Oryctolagus cuniculus: one gene and its partner. The protein of the gene in region 1 interacts with the protein of each later gene in a biochemical or structural test. Links are inferred from orthologs where the notes say so. Each region holds a gene or a part of one and is shown on either strand. Other genes may lie near its edges.

Region 1 (4,679 bases):
TCACTTATTTGAACATCAGAGTTAGAGGGGTAGAGAGATAGGGAAAGAGAGAGAAATGGATCTTCCATCTGCAGAGGCCAAAACTGCTAGGGCTGGACCATGCAGAACCAAGAGTTTCTTCTGGGTCTCCAGTGTGAATGGTAGGGGTCCAAGCACTTCTTCCATCCTCTGCTGCTGTTCCCAGGCCTATTAGCAGGGAGCTAGATCGGAAGCAGAGCAGCTAGGACTTGTGCTGTTGCCCATATAGAATTGCTGGCACTGTGGGCGGTAGCTTTACCTGCTACACTACAACACTAACCCCGAGAAAGTGATTTTTAGCAAAGTTTTATTGAAGTAAACAAACAGCTTTCACAGCCACGTGCCCGTGAGAGGGACCTTCTGAAACAGAAAGGCCTTACTGAAAAGAGGAGAGAGAAGACTCCTGGACAGCAACCATGAGGGGTTTTCTCAGTAAGAAAAAATCCAATGAAGGGAAATGATCTGGGGGTTTTATATCCTCTGGAAAGTTTGTATGGGGCCCTTTAAGAAAAGTGTACGGGGCTGGCTCTGTGACATAACAGGTTAAAGCCAAAGCCTGCAGTGGTGGCATCCCATACGGGCACCAGTTCGAGTCCTGGCTGCTCACTTCTTTTTTTTTTTTTTTTTTTTTTTTTTTGACAGGCAGAGTGGACAGTGAGAGAGAGAGAGACAGAGAGAAAGGTCTTCCTTTGCCGTTGGTTCACCCTCCAATGGCCGCCGCGGCCAGCGCGCTGCAGCCGGCGCACCGTGCTGATCCGATGGCAGGAGCCAGGAGCCGGGTGCTTTTCCTGGTCTCCCATGGGGTGCAGGGCCCAAGCACCTGGGCCATCCTCCACTGCACTCCCTGGCCACAGCAGAGAGCTGGCCTGGAAGAGGGGCAACCGGGACAGAATCCGGCGCCCCGACCGGGACTAGAACCCGGTGTGCCGGCGCCGCTAGGCGGAGGATTAGCCTAGTGAGCCGCGGCGCCGGCCGGCTGCTCACTTCTGATCCAGCTCTCTGCTATGGCCTGGGAAAGCAGTAGAAGATGGCCCAAGGCCTAGGACCTCTGCACCCGTGTGGGAGACCTGGAAGAAGATCCTGGCTCCTGGCTCCGGATCAGCTCAGCTCTGGCCATTGTCAAATTTGTGGAGTGAACCATTGGAATCAAAGGCCTCCTTCCAACCCCATCTCTCTGTAACTCTTTCAAATAAATAAAATAATTATTTAAAAAAAAAAAAAAAAGAAAGAAAAGTGTTCATCTTGCTTTGAGCCCATCTTGCCTTCTTACCTATCATTCCTTCCAAAAGGGCACTCTCTGGTTCCAAATGTCTCCATCTCCAATTTTCTCGTTTGTTAACTAAAGGTCCTAAGCTTTCATCCTTTTTTTTTTTTTTGGACAGGCAGAGTGGACAGTGAGAGAGAGAGAAAGAGAAAGGTCTTCCTTTGCCGTTGGTTCACCCTCCAATGACCACCGCGGCCGGCGCACCGCGCTGATCCGATGGCAGGAGCCAGGTACCCATCCTGGTCTCCCATGGGGTGCAGGGCCCAAGGACTTGGGCCATCCTCCACTGCACTCCCTGGCCACAGCAGAGAGCTGGCCTGGAAGAGGGACAACTGGGACAGAATCTGGCGCCCCGACTGGGACTAGAACCCGGTGTGCCGGCGCTGCAAGGTGGAGGATTAGCCTAGTGAGCCATGGCGCCGGCCATGCTGTATAGTATTCTATAGAGTACATATCCCGTAATTTCTTTATCCAATCTACTGGCTCAGCCAGCTTTCATCCTTTATCTGTAGTCTATTTATTTTTTTAAAGATTTATTAATTTGAAAGGCAGAATAACAGATAGACAGATCTTCCATCCACTGTTCACTCTGCAATGGCCAGGGCTGGGCTGGGCCAAAGTCAGGAGCTTCCATGGGTCTCTAGCATAGATAGGTGCATTAGCAGGGAGCTGGATCAGAAGTGGAGAATTCAGGACTCAAACTGGCGCCAATATGGGATGCCGCTCTTGCATGCATTGGCTCAATCCATTACACCACAACACTAGCCCCAAGATTTTTGCTTTTTAAGTTATGTATTTAGTTTTTGTGTTGCTTAGTAACTAGCGGTACTCTCATCGTGTAGCCCCCTATAGCTGTCTATCGAAGTCTAACCTAACCTAGCTTGCTTTTTCCTACCTATATGTAGCTTTAGAGAGTATCCAGCATCCCTATAATAATTCAGTTAGGTTTATATTTTATCGATAAATTAAGCATTCAGGAGAGTGAGTTGTAGAAGGTGGTTATTCTCATAGCTTACAAGCATTTTGAACTTTACCTTGCCTATTCTTACATATTTTCTTCATGATTATAATGTGGGGTTATTATAATACACACATCCCAGTGTAGAAGGAATCATTTGTTATATAGGCAACTTACAAGAGGCAGTTAACTTTATAGAGCATTTACTATAAATGATCAAATCCTTACCAAATGTTTTGCTGAATCTTAAGGCAAGAGAGGTGATGCTGACAAGAACCAAACTATTAAGATAACTGCCAAAGTGGGAACTCTAAAAAGGAAGCAACAAATGAGGGAATTTCTGGAACAGTTGCCAAAAGATGACCATGATGATTTTTTCAGCACTACAACACCTTTACAGAATCGAAGAGTACTGGTAAGGATCTTAAACATCACTCTTTTCTTTATATTGACTTTACCTTAATTTTTTTTAATTGGTGGTTATTGTTAAGGGCATTGAGTGAGAGCCTACACAGATCTACGACCAAAGCGTGATATAGTGAGCAGTCTGCTGGTATGTGTTATTCTCACAGTTTGAGAAGCTGAAGCCTGGAGCTTTGAGCTCTATTCCAGTCTCCTACTCAGGTAGCAGGGGCCCAGGTATTTTGGGCTTTTCCTCCACTGCTGTCCCAAGCACATGAGCAGGGAGCTGGATCAGAAGCAGGGTAGCTAGGACTTGAGTGGGATGCTGGCATCCCAAATAGAGGCTTAATCCGCTGCACCACAATGCTAGCCCCTACACAACCTTTAGAAAAGGAGTTATAGTTTCTGTTTACATAAGAGAAATCAAGCTTTTTTAGAGAAAAATCCTCTGTCATCAACCTAGAAATAATTGAGGCCACCAGAAAACATTTTGTGATCATGAGAAAATCCATATTTTGAGTGCCTGTTGATAACAAATGTTTGTTTTCTAGTTGCCAAGTTTCCAATACAGTCAAGATGATGATGATATTCTGCCAAATATGGACAGAAATCCAACAACTCCATCATCAGTTATCTTTCCATTGGCAAAAACTCCTCAATGTCAGCATGTCAGTCCTGGCATGTTAGCTTCCATAAATAGGTAAACATTTATGCATTGGTATGTTAATTCTTTTCCATCAGCACACTGCAGAAAATGTAAACATTTTATGAGTTCAGGGGCAAAGATGTGATTAATGGGAAGAATGGTCATTATAAAAACAATCAAGAATGAATAATTCCTAGATATTAAGGACAATCAGTAATTCAGTAATATTTCAGTAGTATTCAACAAATAGCTCATATTTACATCAGAATAAATTCCATATGGGTGAATGTTGTACATGTAAAAAAATTAAACTTAAAAAATGCCTGTCAAAAAAATTCCTAAAGAAAATGTAGAGAATTATAACCTCAGCTTAGTGAAGGTCTTTTTTTTGTTTGTTTGTGATAAAAAAGGTTATTTAATGATTTAAGATATTAGACTTCTCTCAAATTTCTTTCTTCTACTTGTGAAAAGCTTTTTTTAAGAAAACTTTTTTTTTTTTTTTGGACAGGCAGAGTGGACAGTGAGAGAGAGAGAGAGAGAGAAAGGTCTTCCTTTTGCCGTTGGTTCACCCTCCAATGGCCGTCACGGCTGGCGCGTTGCGGCCGGCGCACCACGCTGATCCAAAGGCAGGAGCCAGGTGCTTCTCCTGGTCTCCCATGTGGGTGCAGGGCCCAAGCACTTGGGCCATCCTCCACTGCCTTCCCGGGCCACAGCAGAGAGCTGGCCTGGAGAGCGGCAACCGGGAAAGAATTTGGCACCCCGACCTGGACTAGAACCCAGTGTGCCGGCGCCGCTAGGTGGAGGATTAGCCTATTGAGCCGCGGCGCCGGCCAGAAAACTTTTATTTAATAAATATAAACCTCCCTCCCACTCGCAAACCATCCCATCTCCTACTCCCTCTCCCATCCCATTCTTCACCAAGACTCATTCTTAATTATTTTTATATACAGAAGATCAACTTAGTATATACTAAAGATTTCAACAGATTGCAGCCACACAGACACAGAAAATATAAAGTATTGTTTGAATATTAGTTTTACCGTTAATTTGCATAGTACAGTACATTAGGGAAGGAGATCCTGCATAGGGAGTAAGTACACAATGACTTTTGTTGATTTAACAACTGACACTCTTATTTATGACGTCAGTAATCACCCGAGGCTCTTGTCATGAGCTGCCAAGGCTTATAGAAGCCTCTTGAGTTCACAAACTCCGACCTTATTTAGACAAGGCCATAATCAAAGTGGACGTTCTCTCCTCCCTTCAGAGAAAGATACCTCGTGAAGGTCTTTTTTTTTTTTTTTTTTTTTTTATTGACAGGCAGAGTTAGACAGTGAGAGAGAGAGAAAGGTCTTCCTTTTTTCGTTGGTTCACCCCCGCCAAGTGGCTGC
Region 2 (4,679 bases), on another chromosome or scaffold:
AGTAGATGATGCGCCAAGTACAAGGGCCTGGCACCCGCGTGGGAGACCTGGAAGAAGCTCCCCACTCCTGGCTTCAGATCGGTGCAGCTCCAGCCATTGTGGCCAGTTGGGGAGAGAACCATCGGATGGAAGACCTCTCTCTCTCTCTCTCTCTCTCTCTCTCTCTGTAACACTGACTTTCAAATAAATAAATAAATCTTTAAAAAAAAAAAGAAAAAAAGGCCCCTGCCATGCATGTGGGAGAGCAGAACAGAGTTCTAGCTCCTGGCATCAGCCTGGCCCAGAGCTGGTTGTTGCGGACATCTGGGGAGTGAACCAACCAATGGACGATCGTACCCATCCCCCATCCCCATCACTCTGCCTTTCAAGTAAAATTTTTTTTTAAGTCTGAGAAGAAAAATCTCCACTTATTAATTTGCTGTGTTAGGTCTAAAATTTTACTGTGGATTACTCACGTAGTGGCAAATTGAATGAGCCAAGTCAGCAAGGCTTTTTGGAAACGGTGATTCTGAGGCAGATTAAGGAAGACAGGTTGACAGGAAGGGAGTATATTCAGATGTTGCAAGCCAGGCTGAGGAGAGTCCAGGATGAAGGAACAAGTAAGTGGAGAGGCGGCGGGTCATGAAGTACGTGTGAGTGACCTGTGTGGGGCGTGCCTGGGGTTGCTGGGAGAGTGCTGGTGGTGAGTAGATCCTTTAACAGGCAGCTCTAACACACAGATCACAGGCACACATCCGAGACTTTTTAAAAACCCCTTAACGAGGGAGCTGGAAGCTGGTTCAGGGTCGGCAGATCGAGTTATGGCCCCTCAGCCTTTGGGGCTTGCTTTGCTACTCACAGGGATGGTTTGTGTCCCTGCCAGACTAAACTCACTTACGGTGCATTGGTGGGCTTTCTTCAGGCTGTCATTTAACTTTAGAGGCTTTTTCTAAACTGGGCTGTGTTAGCTTTCTGCCAATGCGGGGGCAGGCAGAGGCCCTGGGCTGGATGCCTCTCTGTGAACCCAGGTGATTGAGTTCTGCAGTGTCTGTAAGCTGTTTTCGTGCCGTGACGGCAGAGGCCAGTAGTAAGGATTAGTTATTCTCTGCGTCATTACACAGGAGTTGCCTCTCCCTGCCGTTGTTGGGCTCCTTGGACAATGGCATTAAAAGGACGCATAGAATCTTTTTGTCTTATTTCCCAATTTTCTTTATAATCAAAGAGTTTACATTCTTTATTTTTCTTAAGATTTATTTATTGAAAGATAGCATTACGGAAAGAGGGAGAGAGAGCTTCCATACGCTGGTTCACTCCCCAATGGCCACAGCAGCCACGGCTAATTCAGGCTGAAGCCAGGACCTGGAACTCCATCCGGGTCTCCCATGTGAGTAGCAGGAGCCCAAGCATTTGGACCATTTTCTGCCACTTTCACAAGCATGTTAGCAGGGAGCTGGATTGGAAGTGGAGCAGCTGGGACTTGAACCTGCCTCATATGGGATGCTGACATCTCAAGCGACAGCTTAACCTGCTGGGGCACAGCCCTGGCCGCAGAGTTTGCGCCGTAACACATGCACTTGATGGTCTCCTCCTCTTGTTGCCGTGTGCATGTTCCTGCCGTCAGATGTGGATGGCAGTGTGGCTGTCCTTGCATTTCTATTATAAATGTCTTACTCTCATCTTTTTCCTTCCTTATATGAATACATGTAACTAAACATGGTCAGAATGACAAACCCTGGAAACCTGAGTGTTGAAGCGTTTGTGGGTGCCAGCAGTGGGTGTTCTGTAGCAAGTTGCTGCTTTGCTTCCTAAAGCGGTGCTATGTCTTTACGCAGCGTCCTCGAGACCCTGTACTGCGTCGGCTGCTCCCTCAACCTCGGCTACATATACAGATGCACCCCCAAGAGCCTTGATTACAAGAGGGACTTGTTTTGCCTCAGTGTTGAAGCCATTGAAAGGTAAGTTTGATATTTAAGTGACCGCTGGGTAACTGACCTCTCAGAAAGTTAAGTTTGCAGAGAAATTGCTATGAAGACGTCAGAGCTAAACCACGCTTAAACGACATTTCCAGGTAGTACTTTCTGACATTAAAGCCAGTTAATTTCTCTCTCTGTCTCTCTGTTTTTCTCTTTGCTTTGCTCTAATTTTTTGATATTGGAAAAATCAGCACTCCTAAATTGTGGCTTTTTTTTGGAGTAAAAATATGTTCTTTTTTGTTTGTTTGTTTTTTGACAGAGTGGACAGTGAGAGAGAGACAGAGAGAAAGGTCTTCCTTTGCCGTTGGTTCACCCTCCAATGGCCGCCGCGGCCGGCGCACCGCGCTGATCCGATGGCAGGAGCCAGGTGCTTCTCCTGGTCTCCCATGGGGTGCAGGGCCCAAGTACTTGGGCCATCCTCCACTGCACTCCCTGGCCACAGCAGAGAGCTGGCCTGGAAGAGGAGCAACCGGGACAGAATCCGGCGCCCCGACCGGGACTAGAACCCGGTTTTGTGCCGGCGCTGCAAGGCGGAGGATTAGCCTAGTGAGCCGCGGCGCTGGCCTGTGTTCATTTGTTTTTAAAAATGGAATGAACTTGAGAAGGATTCTTTTTAAGTATTTTCTGGGGCTATGTCTCAGTGGTTAAGTTGCTGCTTGGGATGTCCCCAACCCATAGGACAGGGCCTGCTTTAATTCTGATGCAGCTTCTTGCTGATGTAAACCCGGGAGGCAGTAGATGCTGGCTCAGGTACTTGGGTGGGTCCCTATTACCCATGTGGGAGACACAGACTGACTTCCAAGCTCCTGGCTTCGGCCTGGGCCAGCCCTGTGTGTTGCAGGCATTTGGGGAGTGAACAGTGGATGGAAGGTTCCTGTCTTTCTCTGCCTTTCAAATAAAATGAGAGTAATTTTTCTAAAAAGCGATATTGTGTTACAGAAGAAAATACGTGGGAGGTTTTACTGCAGGAGATCATGGTTGTCAAGGCTGTTTTTCCTGAACAGTTGATTTTAGGAGACAGGCTACTTCTTGGGCAGAATTTTTTTTAAAAAAATAAGTTTGTGTGTGTGTGTATTTTTTAGATTTATTTATTTGAAAGGCAAAGCCACAGAGAGAAGCAAAGCTACAGAGGGAGAGAGTGAGGAGAGAGAGATATTCCATCTGCTGGTTCTCTGCCCGAATGGCTGCAAGGGCCAGGGCAGGACAAGGCCAAAGCCAGGAGCCAGGAGCCCCATCTGGGTCTCCCACATGGATGCAGGAGCCTAAGGACTTGGCCATCTTCTGCTGCTTTTCCAGGTGCATTAGAGAGAGCTGGATCGCAAGTGGAACGTTAGGGACTAGCACCAGCACCCAAGTGGGATGCTGGATTTGTAGGTGGTAGCTTAACCGGTTATGCCACAGCACTGGCCCCTTGGGGTGGAATTGTAATGCCAGGGCTGCCCTCTGTGCCATTTATTTACAGTTTTATCAGTTGCTCGGTGCCATGTCATTTTCCCACCGCATCTTTGGTTTTCTAAGTAGGATGTCGGTTGCCTTCTGCAGTTTGCCTACCACGCTATTTTCCTCTGCCTTGCCAGGCATATTGGCAGAAAGCTGGAGCAGAGACAGAGCTGCGGGGACTCCCGCCAGCACTCCGCTGTGGGATGCCGGGAGCTGGCGCCACAGCCCTGGCCCCTCGAGTTTTCTTTGAGAGATGCTGGCATCTCCGTCCTTACTGTTTAGATGTAGCTGGTTGCCAGCCCAGAGCTGGTTTCCCTCCATTGCCAGCTGATTCTTCTGCTACTTCCTACTTTCCTAAACCATCGCATCTTGTAACAATGAGAGGCAAACACAGTGTAAGTTGGAGAATAACTGTTACAGTTGCTGACATTTGGTTAATCAAGTATTGACCACCACAATTTATTACTTAAAGTCTCATTTAGGAGCAGGTGTTTATCCTACTGGTTAAGGCAGCTGTGTTCCACATTGAAGTCCCTGGGTTTATTTTATTTTATTATTATATTTTACTTTAAGATTTATTTTATTTATTTGAAAGTCAGAGAGAGAGAGAGAGAGAGGTAGAGCCAGAGCCAGAGAGAGAGAGAGGTCTTCCATCTACTGGTTTCCTCCCCAAATGACCACAGTGGAGCTGAGCTGATCAGGATCCAGGAGCCTCCTCAGGGTCTCCCATGTGGGTGCAGGGACTTGGGCCATCTTCTACTGCATTCCCAGGCCATAGCAAAGAGCTGGATTGGAAGTAGAGCAGCCAGGACTCGAACTGGTGCCCATATGGGATGCCGGCACTGCTGGCCAGGGCTTTCACCGCTGTGCCACAGCGCCGGCCCCAAAGTCCCTGGGTTTAATTCTGAGCTCCTGATTCCAGCTTCTGGCTAACGCACACCCTGGGAGGCAGCACATAGTTGGCCCAAGTAGTTGGGTCCATGCCACCCACGTGAGAGAACTGGATCGAGTTTCCAGCTCTGGCCATTGCGGGCACTGGGGAGTGAGACAACAGACGGGAGGTCGTGCTCTTGCTCTCTCCCCTGCCCCTCTTAAGTAAAAAATTGGAAAAAAGGTCAAATTGGAAGTGGCACATGTTTCTGACGTTAGATAAAGCAAGACAGGGGAGGCTTCTTCCGGGTCCTTAGGTGGCTGAGCTATGAGTGATGATGCTTTGCCACCCAGTTTGCCTAGAGCAGGTTTGTGCCAGTAATGAGATACTTGTAATGCTGGAGAATTGGGATGTAG

The links. The genes of interacting proteins can lie anywhere in the genome.
Region 2: the proteins of MIS18BP1 (region 1) and MIS18A form a complex in vitro, tested with the Homo sapiens proteins (2 studies listed by BioGRID). The link is inferred for Oryctolagus cuniculus from reciprocal best matches to the Homo sapiens genes MIS18BP1 and MIS18A.

What each region holds. Positions count from the first base shown.
Region 1 is NC_091443.1:30,730,724-30,735,402, forward strand, and holds part of MIS18BP1 (mis18-binding protein 1), read left to right. Parts: intron 1-2,491; coding exon 2,492-2,655; intron 2,656-3,193; coding exon 3,194-3,342; intron 3,343-4,679. UniProt on the Homo sapiens protein: Required for recruitment of CENPA to centromeres and normal chromosome segregation during mitosis.
Region 2 is NC_091435.1:12,608,333-12,613,011, forward strand, and holds part of MIS18A (protein Mis18-alpha), read left to right. Parts: intron 1-1,811; coding exon 1,812-1,934; intron 1,935-4,679. UniProt on the Homo sapiens protein: Required for recruitment of CENPA to centromeres and normal chromosome segregation during mitosis.